Linked DNA regions of Neodiprion lecontei. The protein of the gene in region 1 purifies or fractionates together with the protein of each later gene. This does not show direct contact. Links are inferred from orthologs where the notes say so. Each region holds a gene or a part of one and is shown on either strand. Other genes may lie near its edges.

What was found.
Region 2: the proteins of RPII140-upstream gene protein (region 1) and evolutionarily conserved signaling intermediate in Toll pathway, mitochondrial purify together in Homo sapiens (affinity purification with mass spectrometry; 3 studies listed by BioGRID and IntAct, counting the BioPlex papers as one, with this or other methods). This does not show direct contact. The link is inferred for Neodiprion lecontei from reciprocal best matches to the Homo sapiens genes TIMMDC1 and ECSIT.

Annotation. Positions count from the first base shown.
Region 1 is NC_060263.1:36,264,720-36,281,978, reverse strand, and holds RPII140-upstream gene protein, read right to left. Parts: upstream 8,846-17,259; 5' UTR 8,735-8,845; coding exon 8,568-8,734; intron 8,347-8,567; coding exon 8,092-8,346; intron 7,980-8,091; coding exon 7,731-7,979; intron 7,614-7,730; coding exon 7,493-7,613; 3' UTR 6,324-7,492; coding exon of another isoform or gene 6,153-6,323; 3' UTR 5,514-6,152; downstream 1-5,513. Other genes in the region: twinfilin, read left to right, coding at 28-52, 256-333, 734-1,393, 1,522-1,640, 6,153-6,323.
Region 2 is NC_060261.1:8,881,791-8,897,230, forward strand, and holds evolutionarily conserved signaling intermediate in Toll pathway, mitochondrial, read right to left. Parts: upstream 8,503-15,440; 5' UTR 8,293-8,502; coding exon 7,377-8,292; intron 7,290-7,376; coding exon 6,991-7,289; 3' UTR 6,985-6,990; coding exon of another isoform or gene 6,959-6,984; 3' UTR 6,900-6,958; downstream 1-6,899. Other genes in the region: zinc finger protein 343, read right to left, coding at 4,594-5,063, 5,140-5,557; coiled-coil domain-containing protein 137, read left to right, coding at 8,733-8,809, 8,885-9,536, 9,613-9,816; BLOC-1-related complex subunit 5, read right to left, coding at 10,511-11,323.

The DNA.
Region 1 (17,259 bases):
GTGAAAGATACCTTCATCAGGCAAATAATGTCACATCAAACGGGAATCAAAGGTAACGATGAACGAGGTATGAGGAAAAAACGAGGTGGAGCTATGCGATCGAACGATATTTGCGTTTGAAATCGTTTTTCGAAAGATTACGAGCAATTTTTTTTTAACCTCAAAACAGGTCCCTCTCGCCTCCGTTTTTTCTTCTTCCTTCCTTCTCTTTCTATCTAATTAGTGATTTACGTTCGTCCTCTTTTTTTTTTCCAGCCAACGAAGCGCTCAAGAAATTATTTGCCAAATGCCGAGATGGAAAGATACGCGTGCTCAAAGTTTCCATCGAAAACGGTGAGGAAACCTTGTAATTGTTTTTTACACTTGTAATGGACTTATATGATACCTTGTAGTTCGTTTTTATTATAACGATTCCCGGTACGCGACGCTTATCGCGAAATTTAATGCTTCCCGTATAGACAACATAACGAGAAACTCGTAAAAGTTCTATAAATAAAATGTTCATGCTAGTTGCTGCATCACCTCAGCCAACCAATTTTTAACACACACTCATTATTTCTCTCCCTCTTGCTGTCATTCACATTTGACAGTAGACTAATTGGTAATTACGAGCTGAGTCTACATATGATTCCTGCTGCCAAACGAGCCAATCTAACTCAGGGTTTAACCAGGCGCCTGGGCATGCTATATTACTAAAACTTGATCAAGTTTAATCATCAAATAATAATTTCAGAGGAGTTGGTACCTGCCTTTTCTTCCAAGGCTGTCGGGAAATGGCAGGACGACTACGACAAGCTGATAAAACCGTTGATTGTCGAAAACCAGCCAACCTACATCCTTTATCGGCTTGATACAAAATCGCCTGACTCCGGCTATGACTGGTTGTTCATTTCTTGGTCACCCGACACTGCGTCTATAAGGCAAAAGATGCTTTACGCCTCAACGAAGGCTACGCTCAAGCAGGAATTTGGAACGGCTTCCTTCAAGGAAGAATTGCATGGCACAGTCCCTGAGGACATTACGCTAGAAGGATACCATAAGCACAAAAGGAACGACGCTGCTCCCGCGCCCCTGACAACAGCTGAAGAGGAGCTGGCTGAGATCAAGAAAACTTCTGTACACACTGATTACAGTGTTGAAACAAGACAGCAGACTTTGAGCGGTGTCGCTTTTCCTGTTACGGAAGAAGCCAAGCAGGCCATTAACGACATTGGTAAAGGAATTACCGAGTATGTTCAGCTGAAAATCGACCTAGAAGAGGAGAAGATACATTTGGTCATGGCCTGTGATGTCTCATTAGATAAACTGCCAACTAAAGTGCCAGCTGATTCTGCCAGATATCATTTATACAACTTCAAACACACTCACGAGGGTGATTACATGGAGAATATCGGTATGCATTCTGCCCTTTATGAACTATTGGCTCACGTGTTTGGTATTACTTGATGAAAGGAGATCATTTACACTGTATTTCTGCAATAACAGTTTTTTTTTTACAATCTTGTACTTTATATCTTCCAGTTTTCATATACAGCATGCCCGGGTACAGTTGCAGCATCAAAGAACGAATGCTGTACTCTTCGTGCAAGGGACCCCTTCTAGATCTTATTCAATCGTTGGGAGTCAACATAATCAAAAAGGTGAGCCAAATTAAGTTACTCTATTCAAACGCTTTCAGGGTCGCAGCTTTGTGGGTATATAACAGGGCAATGCTCGACGAGAACATGTATTTTTATCTTGGGTGACTGAAATTCCTGGAAATTGAATTTCAATAATCTCCAGCTTTTGTACAGAACAGATAATCTGAAAAAGAGACCACTGTTGCACACTTTTGTAAAAAAATGAAAGGAAATCAACAGGAAAAAATTGTGCAAATTACATATTAGCCAGATGTTGGCATTACATTGTTTCGAGTTGTGTAATTTGTAAAGTACATATAGAAACTTATAAAGTACCATTGAGAAAAGTATAGCAGCAATTTCCATTTTCCAAAAGTGGGCTTGCTTACTAATTTTCACACTTGCTTGTGATCACATAACGGATGACGCGTAAATTTTGGAATTAATTATTGGAAAGTAATGAAATTCATTTAAACTGTGACAGTGCAGGGAATTTATTGGACTCGGAGAAATTAGTTTGTGCCGACTCTACTTAGTTATGCAAATATATGAAAATTTAAAAGGAGAAATCGTTGAAATTGATTGGATATTTGTATATAACGAATCACAGTTGGAAGTAAATAGCGGCGAAGAGTTAGCGGACATGTTGGAAGATCCTCCTACCATAAAAGAAACTGCAGCAACAACTCCTGCCACTCCGTCAACACCTTCTGCCCCTCCACAAACTATACCTGATAAAAAATCTAAACCAAAACGCTCGTGCGTCTTGAGTTAACAGGTTCTCCAATTAATATTTGCTGCTTCAAAAACGGTTCTGACATTGCAAAGGGAGGTGATATGATTTCCACTTGGAAACATTAAATTTGCAGTTAAAACTATTATCGATAAACTACGTCAACCTCAAATTTGTTAGGAATAACAACAACCACAAGAACAACGCATGCTGATTACACCACAAATTTTGATTTTCCAAGTTAGGAAATATTGTTTTTATAAAATTTTCTACATGTTATTGTGTAGATTGAATTGAAATTTGAAAACATTCTAAAAGTAAACGCATTTACTGATACCAACATCTCTGGATTATTAGAATTAGTTGTTCAAAGTGATAACATGCATCTATTTAGTAAATTAGAGTAGACCAAATGGTGTATTTTTCTAAATTCTAATACCAAAATTGGTAAGCCAAATTCTTGTCTAAGTAATTCGTATATACTATATATCTCTGGTACAGAGAGAGAAAAAAAAAAAGAAAAGAATATTACGTACAGAAAATATATCTAATAACTATTTAGATTTGTTTTGAACGAGTATGATGTATCATTTTTTTATTCGTTTGTTTTTTGGAGGGAGATTATTATCAACTTTCATCGCAACAAATTATACGTCTCAAACAGTTTGGAAAATAGGCCCTTACTGCTGGGTTTTTATGACAAGTTCGCATCAAAAATATTTTACTAGTACATTATTTTCGTACCTATATATTAATGTTAGTACACTTTACATATGAAGTCGCATTGTAGACTCGATAGCAGCTTGGCGCTTTGTCACTTGCCGAATTTTAGCCCTTAGGTTTATTGAATATAATAATAATGAAATTGTCACGTGCCAGATTTGAGTTAATGCATTAACTGGAGGATTTTTACCTTATTGGAAAAGTCGTGCATACATAACCAGAATCAAAAAACTATATATAAAAAATATTTAATCAATAAAAATATTATATTATAGTGATGACAAATAAAATAAAGTTTATTTCTCAGGTAGCTTGCACTAACGAATACGTTTATTGATTACTCAAATTAATTCAGAATGGTTGAAACTGATAGATCTGTCGCGATCTTTGCCGTTTGCGAGTTTTAACACGTAACAATGAGAAAGAAGAGCAACAAAGCAATTACTCGCACATAGTTGTTTAATGTATAAAAACCCAGTATATAATATACCTTGTCTCAAATTAGTTCCTAGTCTCAAATCAAGTGATACGTACATATAAGTTGTCTATTAATGTCTTTAGATGAAACTTAAGGGCCTTAATTCCAAACGTCAATGTCGACACTAAATAGAATTTAAGCGGTGTAGGACGGTATTGTTATAATTTAGTATTTTCAGCAAGCCACATATAGCTGAATGTGATTATTAGAGAGTTAGGAAAGAATTCCATGTGCTCTAGCTAGCTAACGCCACTAACCTGACTGCTCTGCATATTCTAATGATAACATTGTGTTGACAAATGATAAAAAATGTGCAAATGTTATTGTTTAACGTCAGAGTTGAGCTATATTCATTCCACATTATCGAGTTATTTGCATTTTAATAGTGACGATAACAATATATATGTATATAATATATATTATATATATATATACATATTGCGTTATATATATTATACTCTATACTATTATATTATATATAAATAATATGACATATTAAAATTCACAAATATATATACGACGTAAGACTGAACGCAGCACATCCCACTTGCTGTATATCTGTGAGCCTTGAGTGCGGAGTAAGAACCAAACAATCCTTATGATGCGAATCAACTGATTGTTTCAAAATTCTATCTCAAACATTCGTATCTTATTTAATCTGGATTTTTTCTTTAAATCGACAAAGCCATTTTATGAATAACTATGTTGTTTTTGAACGGTAATTTAATTTTCTAAAATTTGGATCAAACATCATGGATTATTTTTTTAGCGGTTGAGATTTTCGAAAAATCTAATATTAGAGCCGAGAAATAATGGATTTGATGTACCTATCTTGTTTTTACCAAACGAAATCAGATGACTTGATTCTTATTTCCTTACCCAACAATTTTTACCAATTTTTTTTTTAAAACTAAATACGAATATCTACTGAATGTATTTATTGCTATGCAAAATATTGACGCAGCTGATTTAAATACAGTTTAAAATCATATGTTTCTTTGAAATCTTGAGTTATTATCGAAGAATTATTTCTTATTAGTTACACGATATTAATAGATACATCTTATCTCTTGACTTTCCAAGCACTTTGGGTTGATGTCCAATGGTTAAGAGTGATATATCTGTATCATTGCCTGTAAGAATCATTGCCCAATCTTGTTGCACAAAGCTTTTTTTTATCACTGATACAAGTATACATTACTACACGATAAATATTTCCCCAGACATGATATCAAAGGAATATAAAACGAAATTGGAGATTAAATGTTCTATGATTAACGATACAATCAGCGAAACTGATCAATCGTGATTCGAATTTGCCAAAATTGTTATATCTATGTATAAAGTTAGCATAATATTGATCAAAATTTACACAGTTATACAGAGTGGGAGAGTTGTCAGATAGGCAACAACAAGATGATGATATTCGAGAGGCATTATATTTTTCGTGACGTGTATTTTTTAACTCTTGTAGCTTTTTATAAGCGTTTTAGAAATCTTTGGATTTTAACTTATGATCTGGGACTTGTTAAAAAAGAAAAGAAACATGAAATTGAAAGTATGCAAATTTACGTGGTCACTTTTTTTGCATTTTTATCTACCTTTGATAGAAAAAATAATTGTGAATTCGTAATCCTATCGTAGTCACAAACTATCTTGAGAAATTGCCCCCCCCCCCCCCCCAGATCCCCCGCCACTGTTGAAATAACTTTTTGCAAGTATATGTCTCAACGCTCAATGTAGAAATACAATGGCGATTGATTGAATTCATCGAATTTCCGAATATGATATTTCCTGTATATTTTTTTTCTATCTGAATAGTAAACCATATAAATATGAATAACAGAAACGATTTACGGTATTATTCATATCACAAATTTACATGGGCTGTTTTTGTGGAAAAATCGTGATCATCTAAGTTTTGTATGATAGAACTATACTAAAATTTTTTCGGGCCCAATGGTTTTCTATACGACGCTCAAAATTTGAAATTGTGTTCCGATATATGCATAAGGGGGAGACGCACACGTTCGCCCAGGCGCAAATTATGTTTATAAGTACCACTGTTCCAGGCCAGGCCTATTCTGTAAGATGCGTTCATTGTATTGATTGATTATTTATAAAGAAAATTTTGTTAAAAACATTATAGGTTCCTTCTTATGAACAAATAAATTGTATATTCTTGCCAATATTAAATATATTATGAATAATAAACACAATTATACAATTTAAAAAGAATATTTCTTGCTTTTGTCAATATCTTACTGTAATCCACAGTTCTTTCAATAATTTTATTTTGCTATATACGTATATTGTAAATGAAAATAGACAAATAAAATTCAATAGGTGGGAATGAATGCCAGGGTGATAACATCATCGTACGGGTACGTAATAGCGTTTAATATTTAGTAATTATATTTTATAAGCTTACAGTATAGGCCTGACATTGGTATACCATGATTTTTTATTGTAAATTATTTATATCCAATCGTAACATTTGGATGATAATTTGAGCTTGAAACGTCCAAGTATCTCTATTTCTTGTTACTGAAAATTGTAGAAATTTAATTCTGTTTATGCAAAATTTTTCGGTCTGTAGCTTGAGATTGATGACGGAAAGGAACTAACCATGGAATTTTTGCAAGAGGAATTACATCCGAAAGTCAATTTGCACCGACCTAAGTTTGCCAAACCCAAAGGTCCGCCAAACAGAGGTGCTAAACGTTTGACCAAGATTCAAACTCCAGAAACTGCAGAACAAGAAACTTAATATAAAACTCTGATGAATTATACAATTAGGACAATAACAAATTCAAGCAGGCTGTAAGATTTTAGTAAACTGCCCAACGCTTTATTACTATTTATTCCGCAACATTACTCTTTGCTTAATTTTGACTGTCAAATTCAGTGCTTTTATTCACTTCTAGTACATTTCTCGTTTATTATTCATCCAAATGGGAAAATTCGGTTTTCGTTTTATAGTGTACAATGAAATATTGATCGAATGAAGTTGACTAGACAAGAACTTTTTTTTTCTATACATTTCTAATTTGCATATCGTATATGTCGTTGATTATCAGGCCTATTCTGTGAGCATATGTAGTATTTATTGCATACACGGTAACGACTTTGCTAACTTCAAAACTATGCAATAAACAGCTGCCTCGAATTTCCATCAGAACTTATGTTTAGTATTGAGCATGGAAATTTTCAGTATTAATACTTGCCTGCAGAATAGGGCTCATAAAATATCGAATTAGGAATATCTCTCAATGTTTGCGAATTATGACCAGTGTTCTATCAAGAATATTTTCGTTTCATTGTGAACATGCATGCTGCTGTAGATCAGAATTTTACATTCAAATTATTCGATTAGAGGGATCAGTAGACATTTTTCAGCAATTGCTCAAATTTGATTATGTATTTTATTGGCACAATCGGTATATAGTTTATTGCAGTGATAGAGAATAAGATTAGCGATTTTTATAATCATTATATAAAAATTGTGTTATCCAAGGTATCATAATTTAATCACTTGCAGGAAATTGCATCAATTTGAAGGATTGAGAATTTAACATGTTATAATATAACAAATTTTTCAAGTATTGGGTTAGACAGGTGTAACTAATGTTGAAAATAACGTAAAGAAATATAATTCGCACATGATCGACACCCATTTTCTTAAACGTACTCATATACAATTTTAGCAATCATAAAAATGTGCCGTTGCCTTAGGTACTAGTGAATTAAGTCTGCATGAGTTATATACATATAATGTACTTTAAAGAAACAGAAAAAACCACATATTATTATTAGAAATTATTAATTAAATTATAATTGTTCTCTGAACAATTTAAAATAAATTATAATTATGTATAACAACGAATAAAGTCTAATATCTACAAGACCAATGGAAATAGACCTACCTAAATTGAGTGACTATGCTTTACTTTTCTTAACCTCTTGCTCTTGCACCTCTAGACTTTCCACTTTTTTGTCATGCAACATTTCGATGTCTGTTGGCTGCTGGATAACGCGACTCATAGAACTCTGAATTCGCCTGTAATGAGAGAAAATACTTTAATTAGAACGACTTATTCATACACACTGTACGTAAGTGAGCTAAAAATACTTGAAAAATGATAACGGCACGTTCAAATCAGTGACCGTCTCTCACTTGTCTCTGCTCTTCTTCCAATTGTATTGCCAGTATCGGATTTCCTCCATCGTCGTACCACTTATTTTTAACAATGCTAAACACAATGCACCAGCTACACCGCCGAAAACTCCTCCCACAGCTCCGCCAACAAGCATTGCTCTCGGACCCAACATTGTTTTATACATCGCTCCAGTTATAGTACCCGCAGTTACATATTCTAAAAGAGATGACTTGCCACGATAAACTGCGATCGAGGTTGTCAGTAATCTACAATTTTAACATACTTTTAGGACGACTGTAGTTGGCTAAATCTGAAACTCAAAATATTCTAAGATACTAGATTAGTTTGTTGCGTGAAATTTTAGCGTAAGATTCTCACACATAAGAGCCAGTGAAAAAGGCGATTCTCCATGCCCAGTGATAAGCACCCTTGGCAAAACTGATTGTAACAGTATCTTGCAATTTTCTTTTCGCCTCGAATATGTTTGTGAATGCTGTCGCCTGATTTCTCTCCATGAAATTTACATACGCCATACGTGAATTCAGTGAGCCTCCATATACGAGTCCAACAAACGTTCCAAAAAATGTTGCTTGTACAGCGAAGTGCATTTCAGGACTTCGGTTTCCATACTCGCTGTAACGTAAACGGCTGCATTATTTAATGGATTGACAAGATAGAAGACAATTCGATGTGCGGATGTCAAGAAAGGAACAAAGAACAAATTGAAGGCAACAGAGGGTAGAACGATTTGAAAAGGGAAAAAATTAGTTTTGAGAATGACACATGAAAGTGTCGTGCGTTGATTGTAACAAGCGGGATAACGAAGGTCTACTATTAATAAAACAAGTACATACTCGAGACTGTACATGTTTCTTAACCTATCCCAGCCGGTTTCATTTTCGTTCGCATCAGAGTTAAATGATTTGGCAGTTTGTACAGTTTTATCGGGTATATCATACTGCCAAAACGGTAAATGTATACCTATCAGATACGGTATTCGTCTTCCCGCGACATTTAACATTTTGTAGCTATTGAATTGGGAATTGTTGGTCCCGATATCTCTGCAAGTCAATGGATGGTGCGATGTAACATAACCTAAAAATACAACTCAAGATACAAAATTTTGACGACGCCATTGGCCAAACTAGCAGTTCAAAATATCTCCAAAATGTCAGGGGCATGCGCGATGGATGATCCGCCCGAGGTTAAAAAAAAATGAATGTTTGTTTTTTGCCGATCAGCCAGCGGTAAAATTTGGCTAATGATTTTGTCACGGGAAGAAGTTACCTTAGACCTCAATAAGTTGTTTCAGCTTAAGATTCACGTAAGAATTGCATACAGATCTGCAGCGAAGATGAAAAATCGATGCTGAAAGGTTGAACATCAAAAAGAAGAGGTTGATTTTATACATAGATGTTGCCGTTTTGTAGGCAGCGAATAATCACACAAGGCTTACGGGTTGCAGACGTTAAGGCGCGATTCGGTAACATCGATTATTTAAAGCTTGAAAGCTACCGTAGTTGTATGAAAAATGCATCACTGCAGTTTGCTGTACAGTACAGCAATGAGATTAGAGGCTAGATTTATTACGGCTGGAAGGAGAGGTGCATATAAAATGCACCCATTTATATCTCTTATCTTGACTGAGCCTCCTGCAACGTTTCACGTGCTATAGTTAAGAAAATTCAGTTCAGATTGGTAAGATCAATTCGTTGTTGTTAGAAAACTATGCAATAGAATCGAATAAAATAATTTGTTTCAGTTTCGATAAAGATTCGAAAATAGATACCTTAAGTCCGAACCGACTGCTTTTATATTCCTTCTAACTTTGGCTCGAGAAGAATGGTATTAACTATTTATGATTCTTGAGCATACTTGGTGAAATTCTGACATATATCCAGTACAATATCACGAGTAACAGCAAATTACTAAAAAATCAGTAAGTAATGATTTTCATAAAAAACTGAAGCATCACATGGAAAAATTTTGGAATTAATTTCAGCGATAATTGCGTTATATCGTTTGAATATATTCTCTTGGGCATTGAATTGTATATTGGTCACGGGTATAGTTTATCGAAACTTGGATATTTTAAATTATATTCAAAATCATAGTTATTTTTTTTTTTACGGAATTTAAATCGGCGGGTAGACCGGAAGCTGGAAATGGTGGTGAAAAACGGCGCACGATGCTAATCCCGTGGTTCCCTCAGTGTACCGCTAGGTGTGCTGGCAGAGACGCGCCGTGACGTAACGGCATTACATCAGGCTTCTTTTCCACCCCCGAAAGCCGGGGGCAGGGATGAAGGAGGGAGACCGTCGGTGGCAGCGAGGGCCGGGGGAGTAGAAACTCGCACGTCAATAGGACCGCCGGCGGCTGGGGTGTGGAGGGGGCGACGGCCGGCGTGTGCCAGGGGGTGGAAAAGGTAACAGGGGCGATAGGGGTGGTTTCCGAAGCGCCGAAGAGCGAGGAACGGCTGCGAACCGTGTGGTTGTACCGCGCAACGCCAGTGTCACACTAAAATGTGACTCGACGCAACGAGCACAGAACCGAAATTCCATTAGTTTAGGGAAAAGCCGAAGTATTTGAAAAAAAAAGGAAAACAAAGAAAATATAGAAATAATAAATAAACCGAAAAAGTGTGCACCTTGGATTATATGCATCCGTTACACCGCTGACCGATCGCTAACACTAGTCGGAGATATAATACATATCATTTTATCCTAGTTGAAAAAGACTCTCGCGTAGTCGTTGAGGGGGGTGAAAAAAAAAAAAAGGAGCAAGCATAAAGAAACTATATATATAAGGAAAAATACAAATAAAAAAAAAAAAAAAAATAAAAAATATATATACATATATGTTATGGTTAAAAAGTTAATAATTTTAATTATATAAAAAACAAAAAAAAAAAATAAAAAATACAATTCTATGTACACGCATATCTACGATACGATATTAAATTATAAATTCATGTTGTAAGAAATATACCGCGTTAACGTTAAACGGGGAGGGGGAAAAAAAAAAAAATTATATTCGTTGAACGTAGCAGTTGGCTAAGTTATAATTACAGTGTGGTGATTTTGGAAATAAAATTGGTTTTCTATTTGTTTTACTTGTTTCTTTTGACGCAATAAATAAAGGATTGATAAATCTGTGATTTGTGTCGCGAAGATAATATTCTCGGGAGACTGGTGCAGGCAACGGGTAAGTCGAATACGTACAATTAATGATTCAGCTCCCTCAAACCGTATTGCATAATGTATATAACGTAGAGCCACTTTGTCAGAGATACAAACCTAATAATAGACTCGCAAGAACTAGACTGATAAGGCAATTAGGCACGTATTTAACGACAAAATTACCACGACCAGTCGGAAGGGTATACGTCCTATGAATATACCCATGAATTTCTACCTGTAGCTACGACAAGACGATCGTTTACAAACGTAAACAATTAGCGGTAACGTGACACCTCCGTCACTATCCAAAAAATAAGCAAAGAAGACGAGTGACATCTCGAACGTGTATGGTTGCTTAATCGATACAATTAAAGAAATTTTATAAAAATTTGTCGCGTTTCCGGGCCGATTGTAAATAAAGTCTGCGATGAATAGCCTGTTTAGTTAAGTAATTTATCGTACTTCAGAATGTTTCGAAGTATATTTTTATTTTTTTTTCTTACGTGTCCTCCAAGGATTCTGTACTCATTCTGAGATACGAGTAGAGTTTGCGGTAAACGAACTTCGATATTCATCGGGGTTCCATTTCGTCCGATTATGTCTTGTTGCGTTCAACAACTCCCCGTGCATCATTAACATAATGCAGTTCTCCGCAAGAAGGGCAACAGCAGCTGCATAGTGTCAGTTTTCAGGTCTCGTACCACCCCACCTGCATAATTAATGATTGTTCGTATCAAGGTGCCCGTTTTCCCAGGGCTCTGTGTACCTGACTATTTTGTTATAAGTGAAAAATGCGGATCGATCAAGTTTCTACACCGTTCACGACACTGAATAGAGTGGTGGAAATTTACGAATTACCCCTACATCGTTTTTAAAAGCGATATGATATGAATAAATATTCGATTTCACTCGAGTCCCGGTCGCGGGCGTCCCTTCCGCTGAGTGGAACCGTTTAAAATTTAAATCAGACTCCGTTGTACCGGGCTTTCGACAAATTCGGAAGCATTAGGCGTATACGCAGAGCCGAAATATAACTGCTTTCCGAATTGGCTCGGGGTAAATTACAACGTACCGCAGAGGCGAGCCGGAGGGTTGATCGGTGGTTAAAGCTCCTTCTTTGTTCTCTGCGAGTTTATTGCGGGGGCGAAATGTAAACTGATAACGGGATTCAAGATGCCCTTGTTTTCGCTTCTCTTGCCGAGGCTCGGCTCCATTGATGTTACCGATTCTGCACGGAGAACCTTTTGATACGAATGTTTGCTTTATCGCTTGCTAATAATTACAGTAAAATATAAAAATTTAGGGGCGATCGAGGTACCGTAATAGTCACTAGTCCTACCAATAATAGAAGATCACACTATTTCTTTACGAATCATTATAACCTTGTTCCAATTTTAACCGACGGTTAGACCCGCCATTTCGTTAGTTCGCGGCAATTTGGATGACAAGCCCATGATCTCACACACAGGAGTGAAGCGCTACATGTTTTTTTTTCACCCGTGCACGCCGAATTTTAGCTTACCATGACAGCACCGGAAGAAGGAACACTGAAAGGACCTTCCTTTCGGTCAGACAACATGAGCACACAAAGCAGCCCGATATCGGTTACGTTGCATCGATATAAGCATGATGCAATACTACTTGATTACTCTCATATAACAGATGTAACGTAACTCTAACCGACTAAAGAACATCGGTTACGTCGCATCCATATCGACGACTGTAATGTAACATTTGTGAGTTACTCCTATACACCAGATTTAATAGATGTGGTGTAAATTCTGTGACCAGTTGTTTATCACTGCAATGTTACGCAAGACCCGATACTTGACTATAATGTTACTGTTCGATCTTGGAAATGTAACATGGTTACATGCGTGTTACGTACCTACCTGTTACCCTGATCCGAGAGAGCCAATAGCTCCAAGTAACGATACGGTAGCTTGGGACTAGCCAACCATACAGCGTGTTACCTTGGGTTTGATAAACGTTATCTTAAGATTATTATCTTAAGCTAATTGCGTCTGCCAAGAGGGTGACGGTCCAACGCCCGAATGTGATCAAGACTAAATTTCTACCCGGGATTAGGACATTGGCTTCCAAGCTCATGTCCCAGTCCCAGAATTCGTACTTTGCTTCGGCAGTGATAGAATCAGCTTTTACATAATTTATCACGGCTACGCAAACTTACGATGTTTAATTTGATAATGGAAACGCGTCAAATGTTCCGTACGTCCTTGTTGAACTCGACACCGACTGTTGCTTTTCAAAATTTACGACACAATTATATGTATTATACTTCTCTCGCCGCAATGACTGAGCTAGCTGGCTAGCTACGGAGTAATTAATTATTACCAATAACGTACGTCGTTAATTATACCGACGGCTGACCCACCGAGGCGGTTCACCTTTGTCACAAGTTATACGCGTATAGGTGTAATATACACTCACACCTATACCGCACGCGGTCTGACATATCTATCGGAAAATTAACTACTTCTTATAAAAGTCTCCGGCTCTCAGCTTGGGGTCCCTGAAATAGATTTTTATTACTTTGATAAATACGCGCGAGAAATCGTTGAGATGGTGATTCGATATGGATTCGCCGTTGGGACATTTCGATCCTCTTGTCATGCGGTAAGTCACCAATCACCGATTGCGGATGCTTGGAGAATAAAAGATGAAATGAAAAAGAAAAAAACAGCGACTACTCTTTGTCACAGCGCTGCAGCGGCGTTTTGATACCGCCTTACAACGTGGATAACGACGAACCATCGTTACAAGAGCGGAACCCATATCTCTCCCAATTAACGATTCGGATTGTGTGCGTTTCCTCCACGACGTCCATGTTCCCAGGACCCTCGTTATCCTGGATTACTTCTTTGTCTCGTTCCCACTACCGTTCTCTTAGCGAAAAACTCTTCAGGCAACAACGCAACCAGATACTCGCGGCGAACGATAGCTGTCCGGATTTGCGAAATTCTTCGTCGGAATGAGTAACGAGGAAGGCACGCCTTACAACACAAGCATATACCAAACAAAGTTGTGCCCTACGGAATGTCCTTTGTGAAATTTGAAATCGATGTTTCGGCCCGTTGCACCGGGGCTGGATTACATCATAGCTATAGTCAGATATTGAAAATCGTTGACACGCGTCAAGATTAACATTCCTCTCTGTATCATCTGGTCGTAAAAGATTTTTTCTCGCCAATCTATCCTTACTTCGTTACCGTCCGTAATTCACCTCAGGACGAAATATTTTCGTCCGCAAATAAAACTACGAACGGTGCAAACGGTGACACGACTACTGCAAGGCCGCAGAGTCGATACCCCGCCATCTTGCCACCCTACACGTAGGAACGGAAATATTTCCCTCCGGGTACCGGCATTACAACCTGCAGGTTTATCAGGACATTCGCTGTATAATACGCGTGACACGCGCCAGGCGACGAGTGCTCGTCTTGTTATCGAGCCAGTGATACAGTCGTATTAAGCATACGTCTAACAATAACATAAACGCTTATATGTAACAACAACAATAATAGTAACAATACAGCCGTGATGAAATTCGCTGGGTAAATTCTAACAATTATCATCCCCGTTCGCGCAATGCTGACTTTCGTACAACAAGAGATGTTCCGTGTATGCCTGGAGGGCGATGCTGTGACTGTTACAATTCTCTAAATTCTCTCTACGGTTTATAGTTGTTTCGATTCGGCCAATGGGAGAAAAGAGCTGCCGCATGCCATGGGGGGGTTGACGCTAATAGGACAGCCGGAAGTTGGGAGAGTCGGGTGTAGATGAGCTGGGATAAGTCCGCTGCATTCGGAGCCGTCATATTATTATATATTATATGCAGAACGTGTCTCGAATTCGGTTTTAATTATGCGCGCTCAGACAGGTGAGGTAAGTGTGTAACCAGTTATCGACCCTGTCGCAATTACTGACAGTTTTTGGTTGTATCTGTTTGATCGTTAGTTACAAAATTACCAAGAAATAAATTTGTAGTGTATAATCTGCAATTGGTTTTAGTTATCGAGGAATTCACGATTCGTGCCGGCAGTTTATAATTTTGGAAAATAAAAGGGTCAATACTTGGGTCCAAACGTGCCATGTTAAGAACTGGTTGCTTTCGATTCCACAAATACGACGCACGTGTCACAAGTCTGAAGGTTCTCCGACGTTTGACTCGTTCAACAATTTCTTCAGCACTTTGTTTCGTCCTTCACCGTATTTAATTATTCACAATCAGTTGAAAGAAAAATGTAAATTGAAATACAAGACATCGCGTGGAAGCACTGCTGTAAAAATTCAACTCGGAGGTTTTAACGAGATCCATTATGTACAGTGATTATACTTATACAAAGAAGAGAAACTTTCTCCCTTCTCTCACGTATCCAAAGCACTGCACCGTTACAATCACTCTTTCCCAGTTTGAATTGAATAATACCGCTAATCGGAATTCATTTTCCCCTAAATTTCTCCACCGCCGTTGTAAAGTCGTGGAAAAATAGGAAAGAACGAACGGAGGGTCGAACAAGGTGTAAAACTTTGTCCCAGCAAGGTGATTTCGCGGGTGATCGGAATGAGAAAGAAGAGACCATCGCTCCGGAAGGTAAAGCCGCAACCCCCGGAGTGTTTGCCAAGAGATATTTCGAGTTGGCAGTCGGCCGTTTCGTAGCCGACAAGTGAACCGTTTTCCGCGGACAATACGGCTCTTTTGAATAGGGGGTGTTCGCGTTTTTTTTTTTTTTTTTATCCCTTTTATTTCTCTCTCTCTCTCTCTCTCTCTCTCTCTATCTCTCTTTCAGGTATCGACCTTCTCCGTATTCCCATGGTGAGAAAATACACGCACCTGTATACCTGTATACGTACATACGTATAACAGACGAAAACGGTATACGGATATCAAAGGCGGCGAGCGAGAGACGCGGAATCTCCGTTGCTGGGGAGGAAATGTAATGTTCGATGGGTTATACTCACCGCACATAAACACAATCCGTGCCTGGACGAATGCCAGGTTTTTCTATACACGAGAGAACGAAATTTCGTGACTAGGAAGCCGAGACACACCTGAGAAACGTTGATTCCGCAACGTTACCGGATTAGGAAATATCCCAGCAGCCTCCGCTGTCCTCCTCAGCTTTGGCTTATGTTTTTATCCTAATTGAGCCGCATTGCTTCGTGGATCTCGCAAGGATATTTTATATATATATATATACGCACTCCACAAAGAGGCCAAGTTATAATTCTGTCAAGGAGTTGGGAGAGCGATGCGACAGACGCACGGTTAATGAAGCAATTATAATTTGAACGGGGACTAAGTTCACCTCGCGTCTTACCGTAATTCACAACTTTACCTCTGCACCGCGATATCAGTTCGTTTGACCTTGTTTTAAATTGAAACCGAGTCGCGTTCAATTGACAAAAAATAATCAGTAACACGTCTCAGGGTATACATGTGTACAGTTAAACTTGTTTCGTGCGTTTGAAATTGTGGAAAAAATATGATAATAAAACAACAGCTTTTTTTTCTTTCACTTTCATTTTTCCGTCCAAGAACAAGTCCGCAAATTTTAACGAACGCAGTCGTGAGTTTAAACTTAATTTAAACAGCGTCAAACACTTGCGCCTGCAGGGTCGTATTCTCACATGAGCAGTTGTTTGCGTGAAATCTTTGCAACATCTATTCCGAAACTGCAGTAGGCCCGAATCAATGTTTGATGCGATAATTTTCCGAGCTATTACCATCTGTCAACAGTGTCTGTCCGAGGGTCCGAAGTTCTCGGTTAACCGTGAGAAATGTTCTTGCGTAGAGCAGATGCGGGGTGTCGGAAACGTTCGTCGAAACCAGGGAGGAAACGGCAAACGCGTGCGGGTTGGCTTGATTAATTTCTCACCTAAAGACAGATCGATCGATGACCTGCGGCTACAAGTTTACCTCCGATGGTTTTCCCCTGACAGGTATATTTATGCACACCGATCAGGCAAAAGGTCCGCGGATTTTTCCTAACGATTTTTCAACCCGTTTCAAACGTGTCATAAGCTTTCGACTAAAAGTCTGTCGCACCGCGTTTTGATCGAGTGGCTGGATGTGGAAACGGTGTAGCCGATTCATACCAGCGTTACCATTTCAATGCCCGCGAGGTCTCTTTCAATCCCGGCAATTCGAGCTAACGACCACTTCATATTTCGCCCCCTCAGCCGCCCCCCACGTCATGATCGGCAGTAGTCGGAGCAAATGTACGGTCAGCCTCTGAAGCGCAGCTGTTGCGAGGCGGTTAACGATGTCGTAACGAAGGCGTGTTCCGGGTCCGATGATTGATCCGAGAACGACGAAGGAGTCCAGATTCGACGACGACGAGGT
Region 2 (15,440 bases), on another chromosome or scaffold:
TCCATCGCCACGTACTAGTAATCGTAAAGACAAAAAAAAAAAATAATAATAATGATAAACATAAAAGTACACTCTAGGATAAAGTTAGCGAGTAAGTTTGTATACAAATATTGAGATATAAGTTGAAGAAAGAAAAAGAAAAAATTAATTAAACATTAGGGAGTTGGGGTCTTTAAGAAGATACTCAGACTATGCAAAAATAAAAATAGCTTTACGATTTATAAAGAATTTTCCAAAGTATGCTGCACGTTCGAAGTCTGTCAAATGATACAGTTTGATATAATTGAAGAGGGCTTCTAAAATCTATATAGCTACACATAAAACTCTATGGCGACTAAATACGCTCAGACTTTACACGTACTGTTGCATAAATGATAATAATTTTTTCAATTTTTTTATTCACCTTCATAAAAAATTATTATTAGTCTCGTCAGTTTTTTTATTCTTCTGTGTAGAAGTAAAATTGTCACAAATGTTATTTATTATTATCGAAATCGTATTGAAATCAAACAATAAGTGTTTAAGGCTGACTAGATACGGTATTTAAAACTTTGTAGTAATTAAGTACTCATTTATGAAAGTTTTGTAAAGCCTTGAGCTGGCTTGCTGCTTGGTCGCCATAATGAATTCAGCATATATGAAGTGTTTTGTGCTGAAAAGTGTGGCTGAACAATTTTGTATAACGCGATTGCTAACTTTAAAGAAAGATTTAAAAAAAAAAAAACATAATAAAGAATGAAAAGAGAAAAAAATTATCGAGGAATGCTTCGAACTGAGAAAAAGAAATATTTTTAGTAATATGAAAGAATAAATTTAATGGTAATGAAAATGTAATGCAACTAAACCTAAGCGAAGGAAATATGTAAGTGTAACATTATGATCGATATATATATATATATATGCACATATATATATATGTATATATATATATATTTATATATATATAACTTTGAGCTAATATTATATTTTATCCACAAAATATAATTAGTATTCGTAACAATTTGAGTATAAGCGTAATTAAAAGAAAACCCAAATATTAGTTATTTTCAGAACAGATTACATGAGTTTTGCCGACGACGTAGAGTGAACGTATAATAATTTCGTGCGCCTAAAATGAAATATAAGATAATAAATATCAAATTTTATTTCAGAAAAAGCGCATAAAGCAATATTTAAAGTATATATGTGTACACAACATTCTTGCTAAAGCCTCAATGCCTCGATACACTTCTGAATATTATTCTGATTCATGGAGATTGGACACTGATAGACGAAATAAAATGAATGGTCTCAAAAATGAGAAGTAATACTCTATATATGAAATTCTTCTTCTATTCTTTGTACTCAAATTTTTTTGTTTTAATTTATCTAACATACGACTAGCAACGGATAAAAGTCCAGTAATGCTTGACATTTGTAAAACCCATGGTTGTGAATCAATTTGTCTTATTACCTCAAATCAGTGTATCAAATATCATCTGATACGTAGCGAATCAAAATTAATAGAAATTTTTAATACGTATATTAAAACCTTAACGTCTCTCAGTGCCAATCTGTGAACGAAATTCAAAACTTTGTAATCAAATGCAAAATGATAAACGAAAATCATATTTTTCTACAGTGTTGAAATTTATTTGTAACACTAAAATTATATGAATTTGAATAATATCTCAATACGTGATTAGGAATTATTCATGTATTAAAACCAATCAATTATGTAGAACAAAAGTGAATGAATTATACGTGCGTAAAGGTAATCGGTGAAGCAGCAATTTGAAACTTATTTTCCAGCACAGAAGTGATGAAGAGAAGCAAAATACAAAAAATAAATTTAAATAAAGATAAAAATATGAATATACAAAATCCTCGACATAGTACAAAATCTTCAACTTTTCCGATAGTGAGTGTCAACAGTAGTGCAAATGACTTACTTATGTCTTACCTACGTTTCGATCACATCTAAGTTTGCATCCTTTCAATTTGACAATAGTCAATGAAGAAGTTACACTATCGTTTTGTAAAAATCTAAAATTGATTTTATTTTGTCGAAATAATATTACAGGAAGTTGAAAGTTTCTAATGCACGAAAAATATTTGCTTGTATGTACAGTGATAAATTATTTTGAACTGGAACTTATCGTCTTAACAACCTACCTATAGGTACATGGCTAATAATGATCGTTTGCAAGCACCGCTATTTATTATGTCAGTTGTACTTTGCGTTTTATTATTACACTTTCATAGCATTCGTGTATCACTGTATCATGTACCATTTTTCTAGGGTACATAGATAGGTGTAACTATAAGTGATACACAATATATTGGTTTAGTTTTCTTTTCTGACTGATATCAAACATTTTATAAATTAATAATTAACCGTTCTGGCGCTCTCAATTTTTTTTTTTTTTGTTTTTTTTTTGTTTAGATTGCATAAACATATTAACATTAGCAAAGAAAACAATAAATAAATGAATGTAGGCCACGAAATGAAAAGAAGCGCTAACAAATTTTTAACATCTTCCAGCATTGACAGAAGTTGTTCAATAAATATCATCTTACCTACTTGAAAGCGGTGCTCGTGAGATGATGAGTAATGTGTTTCCAAAGGTAAGTAAGAGCAAAAATATCGCTTTAATTTCTTCCAAGCTAAGTAGACTGGTCGATGTTCACAGTTTTTAGCAGACCAGCTCATTCTGCAAAAAACTACCATCAACAGTGCACAATACAAGGATATTGCTGGTAGGAATTTAACTTCCTCAGATATTAAAAACCTGAACAATTCTAATCAATGAGTAGACAAATATATATAGTATATATTTTTTAATTGTATAATTGTATATAATAATGATTTATTAATTTAAATATGTTCGCTACAGTAAATAACAAACGTTAGTATATGTGAGTATTGTTTTTTAAAAACTATGAAGTTGAACCAATACAATAAATTCGTCTAGCTTCAATAATAAATATAATGTACAGATCGAATAGACAACAATGTGTGTACATGCATTTCTTTTGTATGAATAATATTATACATGATATATAGCTATACATAGAAATCGGACAGATATAGAGTTGCCGTTACTTTATTCTCTCAAACAAAGTTGTCGCATTGTTTATTTGCTATCGTAGCAAAAAGCTAATTTATTCAACATACTGATTTATCAACATAGCAAACAATTATCCGAAAGACACGTACGTATAGAAAATTTCTGGCACTTTTCTCAATAATTAACGAAATATAAAAATCACTATGCAGTGTTGCAATAATGCACCCCTTCCAGAAAAAAGGTACACGTGGCAACTCCATACTCTTATAGAGGGTTGTAAATATTACATACTAAATTTTAGTGGATAAGATACGTAATTTGATTTTTGTATCTATTATATATACATATGTGTGAGGGTGTGTGTATATATGCAAATATCATAAATAAGCATCGTTTTTTGCTAAAATATTGATATTTCATCATGGGTCCTATATTCTTTTACTAACTGCAGCATCAAGTTTATCATGCTGGAATAATTTAATACGCAGCGAATAATCATTCACACGCTATGACGGTGATCCATGATTAGCTCAATTCATACAAAGGTTATTATTATAATAATAAGTAACGCTGCCAAACCTTAAATAACAAATATTTAGTACTGGTATTTTGAAACTGTGTAACTCGATAACAATCAACACCTTTACATGCTTCCTTTAAATAGATTAACAGAAGTGTTGCGTTGAGTTTTCAAAATTTCGGAAAATTTATCTGTCACAGGTACATACTCATCTCGAAAATTTTAAATTACAACAAAGTGATCTAACAAATTAGAACAACACCTTAATTTCTACGTATTTGCATTAGCTGCATCACTTTTAGGTGTATGCTGTGTGGTAGAAAATTGTTTTCACATAATAACGCTTTGCATTGCTTGTATAAAAGCACACAGCAACCTTAATTAACAATTTTAAATACAAATAATTATGAAACTCATATTATACCAATATTTTATGATACTCATCACTATAAGTCAACACAGAAGAAGAGCATCTCATTGTTTCTCTGAGTTGGAAAAAAGTACTCACTCTCAAGTTACAATGGGTGAAAAAGAATTCTTTAGTGAATTATCGAGTACTAGGATTATAAAATTGGATTGGAACTAATCCGCATACTCGGCACCTCATTAGAATCATATTGTGCGAACAGCACAGCTTCAGAACAAAAATTAGTAACACATTATAACTATGATATATTTTACTTTGATCCCAATGACAAATTTTATTTACCACATATTGTGGGAAAAAAGATAATTTAACGTTTTTAGTTACTATGTTTTTTTTTTTCATGGTATCTTTAGTGCGTTTTGTTCGAATTCCCTGTTACTTAATTTTATCACAATCAAATATAATAAACGAGAATAATCCTATTTATTTCAAACAGTACTCAGCACCATGGTTGAATTCTTATATTACAAAAAAAAAAAATCGCAGAATAAGGGTGAAAAATCATCATCATATTGAAATAAGAAAAATCATTCAAATACAAGTCATGAATTCTAGGTAAACTATGTGACTAATGAACAAAAGCGATCTAGTCACAGCTAAGTGCGTAAAATAGAAAACGGTGGCGGTCCAGCTTGTCTCATCATCATTGCAAAATTGCTGAGTCCCTCTTCATTTGAATTCTGCGCATTTTGATTATTTTGAGAATTACTTGAGTTGCTCTTATTCCTAGTGCCGCTATGACTTTGCAGATGTTTCTTAAGATGGTCTTTTCTGTAGAATGCCTTACCACATTCTGTACAAATTTGATTTTTACTACCTGAATGAATGATCATGTGTCGAGCAAGATGTTCATTACGTTTGAAAGCCTTACAGCACATTGAGCACTGATAAGGCCTGTCTTTGTTGTGACCTTGCTTGTGTCGATCCAGATGCTCCTTGCGCTTCAAACTAGCTCCACAAATATCACAGATATGTGGCCGTTGCCTGTGATCTTCTAGATGCTCGTGCAGCGCATCTCGATTGTCAAACCTGTACGCACACTCTGGGCAATGATATACTAGCATACCTGTGGAGTAGCATTAACATTACTTTCGTGTAAAGGAAAAGAGGGGTTCTTGATGACTATTAAAAGGATAAATCACCGTTAATGTGCTGCGGCTCAACTTCAAATTCCAACTTTGGCCGAACATTTTGAAAGTTATGAGACGAGTTGTTGCTATTATCTTCATATTTAAAGACATAAGGCAAACCTAAGGTGCTTGAACATCGTGCCAAGTACTCGGAGGTCAGTCTAAAGTCGATCTGCAGTGGATCGGTCATGGTAGCAGCGTCTACTTTTTGTACGGTTTGCGTCCCAGACGATTGCTGTGTATCGTTTTGATTATTCTGCTGACAGATTTCCTTATTTCCACAGCTATTCTCGTTCCTGTTTTCATCTGTGTTCTGATTATGGGATCCCAGAGGTGGAGCATGTCCAGGATACGTGTAACCAGTCATGTTAGATTGAATATCAGTCAAATATTTCGCATTACGCGGAACATACGTCATTTTCATGTGCATCTGGATTTCCACCGTAGATCGGGCGCTGAAGACAGTCAAAAACAAGGAATGAACAAACAGGTAAAGAAATAATATTCTTAAGATAAACTTTTGATACGACATTTTATATTTATTCGTAAAAATTTTGTTTGTGAAAGTTTGTCCTCGCATTGATCGTTTCAAACTTTCTGAAAGACAGGTTTAATCGCGATTTCAAGACATGAATTTCAAGCAAAGGGTGATACGCTCAGTAATTGTGGTTAAAATTGCAAGTGTTGATAATTCTTATGTGAGAATGAACGGCCGAAAATAAATTCGTGGCCATTTTCTTATCTCGTATGTATTACGTAGAAAGATCTAGTTTTAAACGGGAGTGGAAAAATGCGTTGATATTTATTATTTGCTGCATATAGTACTTGTGAATATTTACATACCTACGTGCGTACGAAGTGAAAATATGTACATTGAAACGAGACAGGTAATTATTTAATCAGATTCGAAACTGTTGAAATTAGAACGTTTCTATCGATGAAAAAACACGCCGATATGGATAAAAATTTGCCTCGCAGTTCGCCGTACGAAATAATAATGAAATACTAGTATTTCAACTTCAACTGTACAGTGTCCACCCTTATTAGGCAGTCCTGAGCATCGTTTCAATTACAAGTTATTGAGCAGGTCAAGATACGTGCGTAGGATGTGAGCTAGACATTGATAAGGCGGTGAACGAGTACCGCGCGCGGATTATCTTTGACAGTCTATTTCTGAATGAAATGTCAAACTTTTACGGAATATTTTTAAACCTAATGTACGAGATGCCACTTACCGTTCACCCGCATTATTCCCGCGAACTTTGTGGATCTCTCGCCATTATTTGTTTGTATCACATGCGGCCATCTTATCCTATCAGCTGCTGGGGTGATGTGATTTTTCTACATACGTGATATTTACCTATCACAGTTAGCATAGAAATACTTTCATTGCCCGTTATAGTTATCCTTGTTTTGAACAGATTTTTAAACCGTCATTACGACTCGGAGAAAATTAATTCACGCTAATCGTTTAATTTTTTTTATACGTCCGCGACAAGGTTTTCATTCTTATAGGGATTTGATTTTTTTTTTCTTGATGAAAACAGCGCTGCTCAACTGACATTCGATCAGCGCGATCGTGTAATTGAAATTAAACACGCAACAGTTTCAGCGTAAGTTTTCCGATTCATTTAAATTCTTTACTTCGCATTCAGTTACGACGATTTTATCATTGAAATGTAAACCTTGATACATATTTAGAAGAATATTGCGATAGAGAAAAAATAAACTGAACAAGTTACAGGGAAATTAAAAAACCACACCAGTCAATGTTATTTTTTTAATAAATAGCTCAAGCATTGCTGAGCGACGATCGCAGATTTTTTATTTACTATGTACAGGTGAAATTGTTTACATGAAATTCTAATCTTTATTAACTTTATTTTCTACTCCCTCATCTTTAGGTTTGTCAGATTTATTATTGGCCAATACAACGTCGCCTAAGGGACTCTTTGGCTTAAATATAATGGGAATATTAGCTAAGATGTCATTCTCTTTCTGTAAAAATCTAATCCAAGATAATAGAGAGTCGCGACTAGAGGTTCCAGTCGCACAAACAGCAAATATCGTGCCATCCTCTTGCTCGTGAATCGCCGTCTCATCTTCAGTCGGTACCACAGATTTTTTTGTTTTCCAAAATGGCAATTCAATTTTACTAACGTCTGGAAAAGATCATTATTGTTAATTAGATTGGCGAAGAGAGTTTCAGGAAAAAGACAACAAATCACTTTTAGAAGAATATTTCTTACCATCGTCGTCAGGCGGTGGTAGGTCAGGTTTTGGAACAGGATCTCCCCTCAGTATGAAGTAATTAATGGTCAAGTTTTTTAACCAAAGTCTAAAAGGCCCTTCCACATATATGGGGGCTGTGGAAGCATGCTTGTTAAGCAGTTTTTTCTGACCAATACTCATTCCAGAAACAATCCAAGTATCGTCAATGGAATCTTCGAGATCTTTTGCCTGGAAGATTGTGATTTTTCGGAGCAAATCGATGCTAGTAATTCTCTCTATGGCCAGTTTGGCCAACTCGAGAGAATCATTGGGCAAAACTTCTGGCAATGGCCATGGACTCGCGTTTTTGAACTTGGGCATCCAGTACATCATTCTCCAATACTTCCTCAGCGGAAATCCCAGCTTACCGAATATGTTGAGAAGGATATCCTGCATTTCCCTGTCTGGTATAACTCCGTTGTTTTCCATCTGTTCAAGGACATCTATCGCGCATTGCTGCTGCTTTGGATAATGCATGAACTCAGCCTGTATCGTATTCTCCGGAATGAACTTCCCCTTCGGTAGTACATTGATCAAGTTTTTGTATACCTCTAGATCTTTTTCGACTCCGAATTCCTCCATGTGCTTCATTGCTGCGTAAATGAATTCGACGTGACCTCGCCTGTGAATGTCTCTGTCGACGAACATTCGCAGTACGTCTAAGTACGTTTTTTTCTCCTTACTTCTAACCTGTGCAAACCCGTAAAAACTCACCGCCTTGCTACCTTCATTTTTTTTGTTACTATTGTCTTTAGACAGATGAGCGCTGGTCACAGATATGCAACGCAAAGCTGTTGTTGGTCGGTAACTTTTCAGGTCGTGCAGTATCAACTTTTTTCTCATTCCTGGATAAACCCTGAGCAACACATACGATCTTCTTATTATCGATGTCATATTGCTACTTGGTATAATGGTTTGTTGTATTTCTCAAATTAACGGAGGCACGATCATAGTCGTAATGCTTAAATCCGCGTGCCGGTCAAACGATTTTCGTATTTTATGCAATGTGTAATTGATATTCTTTGAAAAACCTCTATGTTTAACATCCCATTCCGTAATATCGGTTACACACCGAGGTTATAAGATTGCTGAGAGGTTAGGTTATATTTTCTCAACACCGCGGCCGGCGGAGCCTCCACCGGTGGGTGATTCACCAAATTTAAATTTTGCCGCACAAAAATCGTTCGTAAAAACTCCGCACGAGTGCAGCACTGTCGGGATTTGCGATCCGTGGCTAAACAATAAGTTTGGTTGGTCCAAATTCGAAGCGTGCGTGCTGCTGGAACTAGTACATAAGTACAGCCGAAACATTGAAGTTATGAAATAAAGTGAAAATGGGACGCAAGATACCCGGAAAAAAACACAGAGGAGTGAAGGACCCGACTAAGCAACAAAAGAAGCGTTTATCAGAGTAAATATCGTTGCGTGGAGTTGTGTGATTAAATTTTGTAGGTTAAGTTGATCATCGTAACGTGTCAAATTTTAGGTTAAACAAAGTGATAAACGCGCCGCCGAGGGACAAGGATGAGCAGGCGATACCGAAGAGTCTTGAGCGCGTGATGAAGCTGAAGCAAAGCGTGAAGGACGGTAAGATGATGAAGAAAAATACCAAGAAAAAAACGAAGCTGAAAAATCAACTGATCGTGATGGGCAATCACCATCCACAGATCGCTCATCCCAAGGCAAGACCGGAGAAAGTTGTTCCTGTTTTTTCGCAAAGACCAGACGAATGTGGAAAGGCTTTTTTGAACCGAGTGAACTCGGAGACTCAGGCGTTCTTAAATGAGACTGCGTTTGAAGACAAATATGGTGTGGAAGTCAAGCGAGATCCAAGTACTGGTAATATCGAAGGATTGTCTAAGAGATCGAAGGATGAGATAGATGAATTAATGAGACTCAAATTGAAGCACAGTAATACCAAGAAGAAAAAGAAAAAGAAGAAAGACACCGAGACGACTAGGCTGACGAAAGCTCAGAAAAGGAAACACAAGCTCGAGTTGAAAAAAACTAAAAAACTGCAGGACAATATAGACGAGTTCAAGGTCTTCAAGGAGACTATTGAATTTGGAGATGTTGTCCACGCTCCTCCAGAACTAAAAATCAAACCGAAAAAAGCAGACGCTTCTCACTCCGAACGGGTAAAAACCTTACCAATATTTGATTAGTTATGCGTTGTATTTTTTTGGATTAATTTTACCGATGATTTTCCGATAGCCTGGACGAAGACGTCTTCTTCTTGATTCGCTTTTCAAGAGCCATGACAAATCTGCCGAGAACACAACAGGCGTTAAGTCTGTCAATAGATCTGGAAAACGCAAAGATCTCCCGGTTGGGGAAAGAAGACAACTGGAGGAACGACAGAAAGAAGCCATAACTGCATACAGAAACCTGAAGTCTCGGAAAGCTGCTGATTTATGACCATGGGCAATGGCCGTGTGATCAGTATTTGTACATATGAGAGCCTTAGCAGAGAATAGAAGGACGAAATGTGTGTGTAAATTGATCAGTTTATTTACGATATTTTTTTAATTACATTAGAGTATATATAATATAGAGGTTAAGTTTCACGGTATTCTACTTTGGCAGAGAAGTAGTTGGGAAAACTGTGGGAGGTTACACTTTGCTAAAATTGTCATTGATAATATTGAAACAAAATGAATAGCATTTGCTACAGTAAAACAGCGATTTAAATGGTCATAGATTGTTTTTGCTTGTTATTGATGACGATGATGAACATGAAGCAAACGGTTTCAACTAATCTAAAATAAAATAACAGTGCTGTAAAGAACAAAACAAGTAATAAGAGCCTCTTATCTTGTGAAATGCCAAGTGTTTAGATCCTTTGAAATGTCTAAACAATTGAAATATTTGACAAGCATAAATATGAGCACGATTTCTGAAAATTCATGTGCTTTAGACTATCCAAGCTTACAGTTTTATCGCAAACGAACTTCTCCTGTCCTGCAACTTATAATTTTACTCTAGAATTAAACTCATCTTTTATAGAATGCATGAAATAATTGCCACGAAACAGCTGATTACTTGATATGGTATCAAATGCTGACAGCAAATAGTTTTGAAGAAGTGTATTTGATGAAAAGGTGTTAAATCCTTATCCAGTTGTCCAAACAAATGGTTCAAGTCGATTATTAACTGGTAGGTAGTTATTGAGCTTTTCGAGGCTTTCTAAAGTATAATTAAGTTGGGTGTGGCAGTTGTCCAGTTGTTGGCTGATATGATGAATCTTATTCAGCTGTTCAGCAAACTTTGTGAATCTCTTTTGCCTGTCTATAGCCATGTTGAATATTCGTATAACTTCGACGTCGAGGGTGGTGTTGAGTGTGGACTGCTCAGTCGCAATCATTTGTGCATTTGTATTCAAGTGGTGTTGATATCGGGCGCAAAGATTGAACAAACCGATGGGATCCAGTCGCTCCAAGACTTCAGGGTCTCTGACTCCAGGTGGCAAATTCAAAGTTCCCCTCATAATGGGTAGAAACATCGGTATGCTATGCAATTTAACTAGATCAGCATCCATGTCTGCAGTCGGCTCAGAAATAGCTGGCTTGACGACTACGATGTTGTGTGCTTTGTCCGAGAGAGTTTTTCTGTGCCCAATGGCACCAATACCTGGTTTTCGCTTGGATAATTCCTGCGTTCCGAGGCTCTTTCCTCGCTGCAATTGGGCCTGTTTATTCGTCATTTTGGGTGAATCTCCTATTGGCCTGTTCACTGTGTACGATATGTAAGGCAGATCTGAATCCGAGCAAATGCTCGGTCCGGGACTCGTACATCGTGGCGGTGTGTCTTCAGGGATTCCATCTCGGTTCGGAACGCTCTTTCCACGCCGCAATTGAACCGCTCGCGCTCTGCTGCTCTCTGATCCTGGTATATCGTTGCTTTGAGAGCTCTGCTCGGATCCCATCGTTTGATTTAATAGATACTTTAATCTTCAAAGAGGCAGTTTTTCCAAATTATCCAAAGAGAGTAAAGTGAAGAGTGCCTGATAAAGGAAAGTATTGTAATAGTTCGATTCTGAGGATGCAATATGTGAGCGAATCTTAGGTTTTCTGTGTACAATCAAGGTTGCATAATAATAACCAAACAAATGAGTACCTTTGCTACTTAGAGCACGTACGTAAGTTCTGTCAGTGGAAGTTTGTCATCATGTTCTCAATTCGAAGTTCTCATATATCGATCAGTTGACGTGCGTCCGTCAGTTCATATATGACGAATAATTTTGTTTTTCAATTCACGTATTTACTTCTTTCATTGGGAATAAGCGATTTTGTGAGAGATGAATATCGTAAACATAACACAATTAGTTAACCCGTGCTATAACCGAATACTTTTTTCAGAATGACTTTTGAACTATCAAAATCATCGGGTCCGCCATCAGACGACTACACAAAATGAACCCATTGGAACCCATGTCCCGCGATGACAAAGATATGGGCTACGCCAGTGACGTCACTGATTTTAGTCACAGGCGGCACCTGCGGAGAAGAATCAAAAACATCGCGGGATTTTTTTCCGTCGGTAAGTTGGCTCACGACACGTTCGACCCTTGTTTTAGCGCGTTCTTTGAATCTGCAGCGAAATGAACACCTGTCCGTTCAATGTTTATTGTGAAATTTAACCGGATTTGTTGCGTTTACATACAGGGGATATTCTGTCTACCGTGAATTGAATTTTATTTACCCAGTGCATATATTTTCAGTCAGCGGTACGCGTTCTGCAAACGATACGGATATTACGTGTACAATGTTTTTATACCGCAAGATTCGTAATGATTGGTAACACTGTATATGTATAGGATGCACGATTGCATTATGTATGCTCAGGCATTGTGAGTGCGGGTGTTTTTATTTCGAGAATAATTCATTATTCTTCTAACCATAATCATACGATATGTGCAACCGGTAATTATCAACTGTTTCTTGGTGTAACAAACGAACGGGTTAACACGCGCGATGCGTACATAAATGGCGATGAATATGTATAATAAACAATGTGATAATCGTGGAATATCATAACGAGGACCTTATCAGAATGATGTAAACGTCTTTCAAGCGTTCTTTCGAAAACCGTCGCGCTGCAGGGTACGACTTGAATCTACGAAACAACAGGTCGCGGTGAAATGACATATTCCGCGGCAACGCAACACGCAAATCGCTAAAATATGTGATCATACCAGCGGAACGGTTCTGCGCATCTATACGTCCGTAGGTATGTACGGGACGGTAAATATTTATGGCCATGTCAAGAGGACCACGTGTATAAGCTATGTTTATAAATATATGTATATGTATATATGTTAGACGTCAAGGTATACGTAAAATGCTTGTTTCTTTGAAACAAGATTGCAAGTTCCACTCGTTTCGCAACCCATAGATCAGTCGCACTTCGCACGTATCTACATACGAAATATACATACATATCCTAGATACAAAGCGCATGAATGTATAATTTTGAAATTTACAACTTTTCCTCACGCCGCGAATCTTTTCAAATCCCGTGAGTATATGTTTATTTATTTGTATAATGTGTATATATCTACGTAAATGCGCAGGTATATACCATATACTCATCTTGTACAACAAATATAGATTTTCAAGATGTATATCTAATGCATCGGTGATGCCAACCGTTTGATTTTGCAACCGCGTCTGTTTCTTACGTCTTCTGTGTTCCGTTTTATTTCTTTTTTTTTTTTTTTTCTTTTTCTCCTCTTTTCATTATTTCTTCCACTCGGCTTCGCATGTGGCGCACGATCCCTATCTTCGTATATTTGCATACCATCTAACTCAACGCGGGCTCGAAATCTGCTCGCTCCGCGTCTCGGATCTTCGATTTGAAATCCTGATCCATGCACCGATTTTCTTCATTAATAAATCATCGAGGATGAAACTTATCATTCATCTCACAGTCTGGTACCCGAGACGACAATTCCGCTTGCTCTGAAATAGCTGAAGAAGAAGAAACAGATGCAGCAGCGACGACTTGGCGAAATGAATACCCCCATTTATTTAAAAGTCGTTATTATCATCCGGCTCTCGGGACTTCTAATAGTTCCTGGATTTCGCCAAGGTGCAGTTAGCGAGTTTCTGCATCTGAACCGCGGTCGTAACCGTTACTGGATATAATTATCATCATACTTACAGAATTTTACTGTAATAACGGTTTCCCAATAGGGTATATTTATGTTATACCGTTCGGTATTGTAATAACATTTACACGGTGCTAATGAAGACATGATTTTTCATTTTTATCTGTTATGCAGTTTGGTTCAAAAAAAAAATATAAATAAGTAAAGAAAATATTATTGTATACTGTCAGAAACAATTTTTCTACAAGTTTATTGACATGTATTATGAAATTTTACTTCAAAGCATTGAACCGGAAGTAAATTAACCTCATTCAGCTTTGAATATGAAATAATTAGGTATACAGTGACTGTACAGCTGGTGAAATATCGAATATTAATCGAACAATGATCCCTGTTTACACGTAAAGTTACGAAAGTTTTCAAGTGCCGGATACTTACATTTTTTACAAACTCTTTGATATAGTTTTTTTTTTTTTATCACTCACGCAATAGCAACGTTGCTGCAATAGGCAATGTTTAGCTCTTCATCGTTGATAATGTTATACAGGCGAATTGCGTACAAAATTACGGGTTTGTTGTAACGAGCACTGCAGTCTCTTAGTGCAAATCCCGCAGATAACTGACGATTCTTATCGACGATAATAAACACAGTTTACTCTCTATCTCGTCAAGGTGGGTGATTTTTTAAATCGTCGGATTAACGGGATTATGAATTTTATTACGATTTCCTAATTACCTAAATATTCAAACAATATTCGATCGGGCTACATCGAATTCTTTCTATTTGCCCTGTTTTGGATGTAGTAATTTTTCCTCAGTTTTTTCAATGACTAGTAATTGGGGAAAATGGGCATTCGGTTACGTCATAATTATAATTTACGACAAAGCAACCGTAGAAATGAAAAAGAAAAGAAAAACTTTTACCGTATATAGACTGCAGAGAAAATTTCGAAGACATTACTGTTTACTTGCATAATTATTTTTAAAAAATGTCACATTTGTTCATCGTAAAGTGAACTATGTTTAAACTGTCAGTAACGAATAAACTAGAATGAGTTTTGGATAGCCTAAAACTTGGTTTAGGTCGGAGAAGTTTTATCGTAAGTCTGTATAAAAATATGAAGTTTTATAAAAAATGATAAGATCGTGAGTGCAGAATCCCTGAAGAATACAACGGGAAAATCGAAGTTTAGTAGATACGAGATTCAAGATTTCGACAAACTGCGATGTACAGCATATACGAGGATAACCATCGTTGAAACTTTCTTTGAAAGTAGTGTACGAATAGAGACAAAACGACATAAATACACATAAACAGGCATAATACGTTTTGCATACATACGATATAGATACTTGTATAAAACAAAGAACAGCAGTTTTGGCGCGCAGTTTTATGGCTGTATAGCGAGGAGGCTCTTCCCTTTTTTGATGACACGTTCTGTAAAATCTACAGTTTTCCCGTCCCGTTGATATATGTAACAGTTTGTAAGCCACAACATGTTTATATAGTACGCTGTGTATATAAACGTATATATGCTATATGTATGCATGAGAGCTAGCTGAGCAATTTCAATTTAATGTCCGTCGGAGCCTCGGCGTGTCCCCGGCTTCGTTTGGGCTGCGTTTCAAAGCGATTTTTATCGCGTAAGATTGCGACTTGAAGAGAGCATCAACAACTTTGAAACGCGGCCTCAAAGACCGCGACCAGCTTCCATGGTCACCTGGTCAAAGGATCCGCCTATGAAAAATGACGACGAGTGAAAATAAAGAATAGAGTGAAAACAAATAAAAAAAAAAAAAAAAATACATAGGAGAAGAGAAAATCACGTTTAAATCATACGTGCAGCGCTCGTATGTAAGAGAATTTGACTTTAAGTGCGAAGGCACGGCTGCTTGGTATTCAGTTCCGTTTGGGCAAACAAGAAAATTTTCC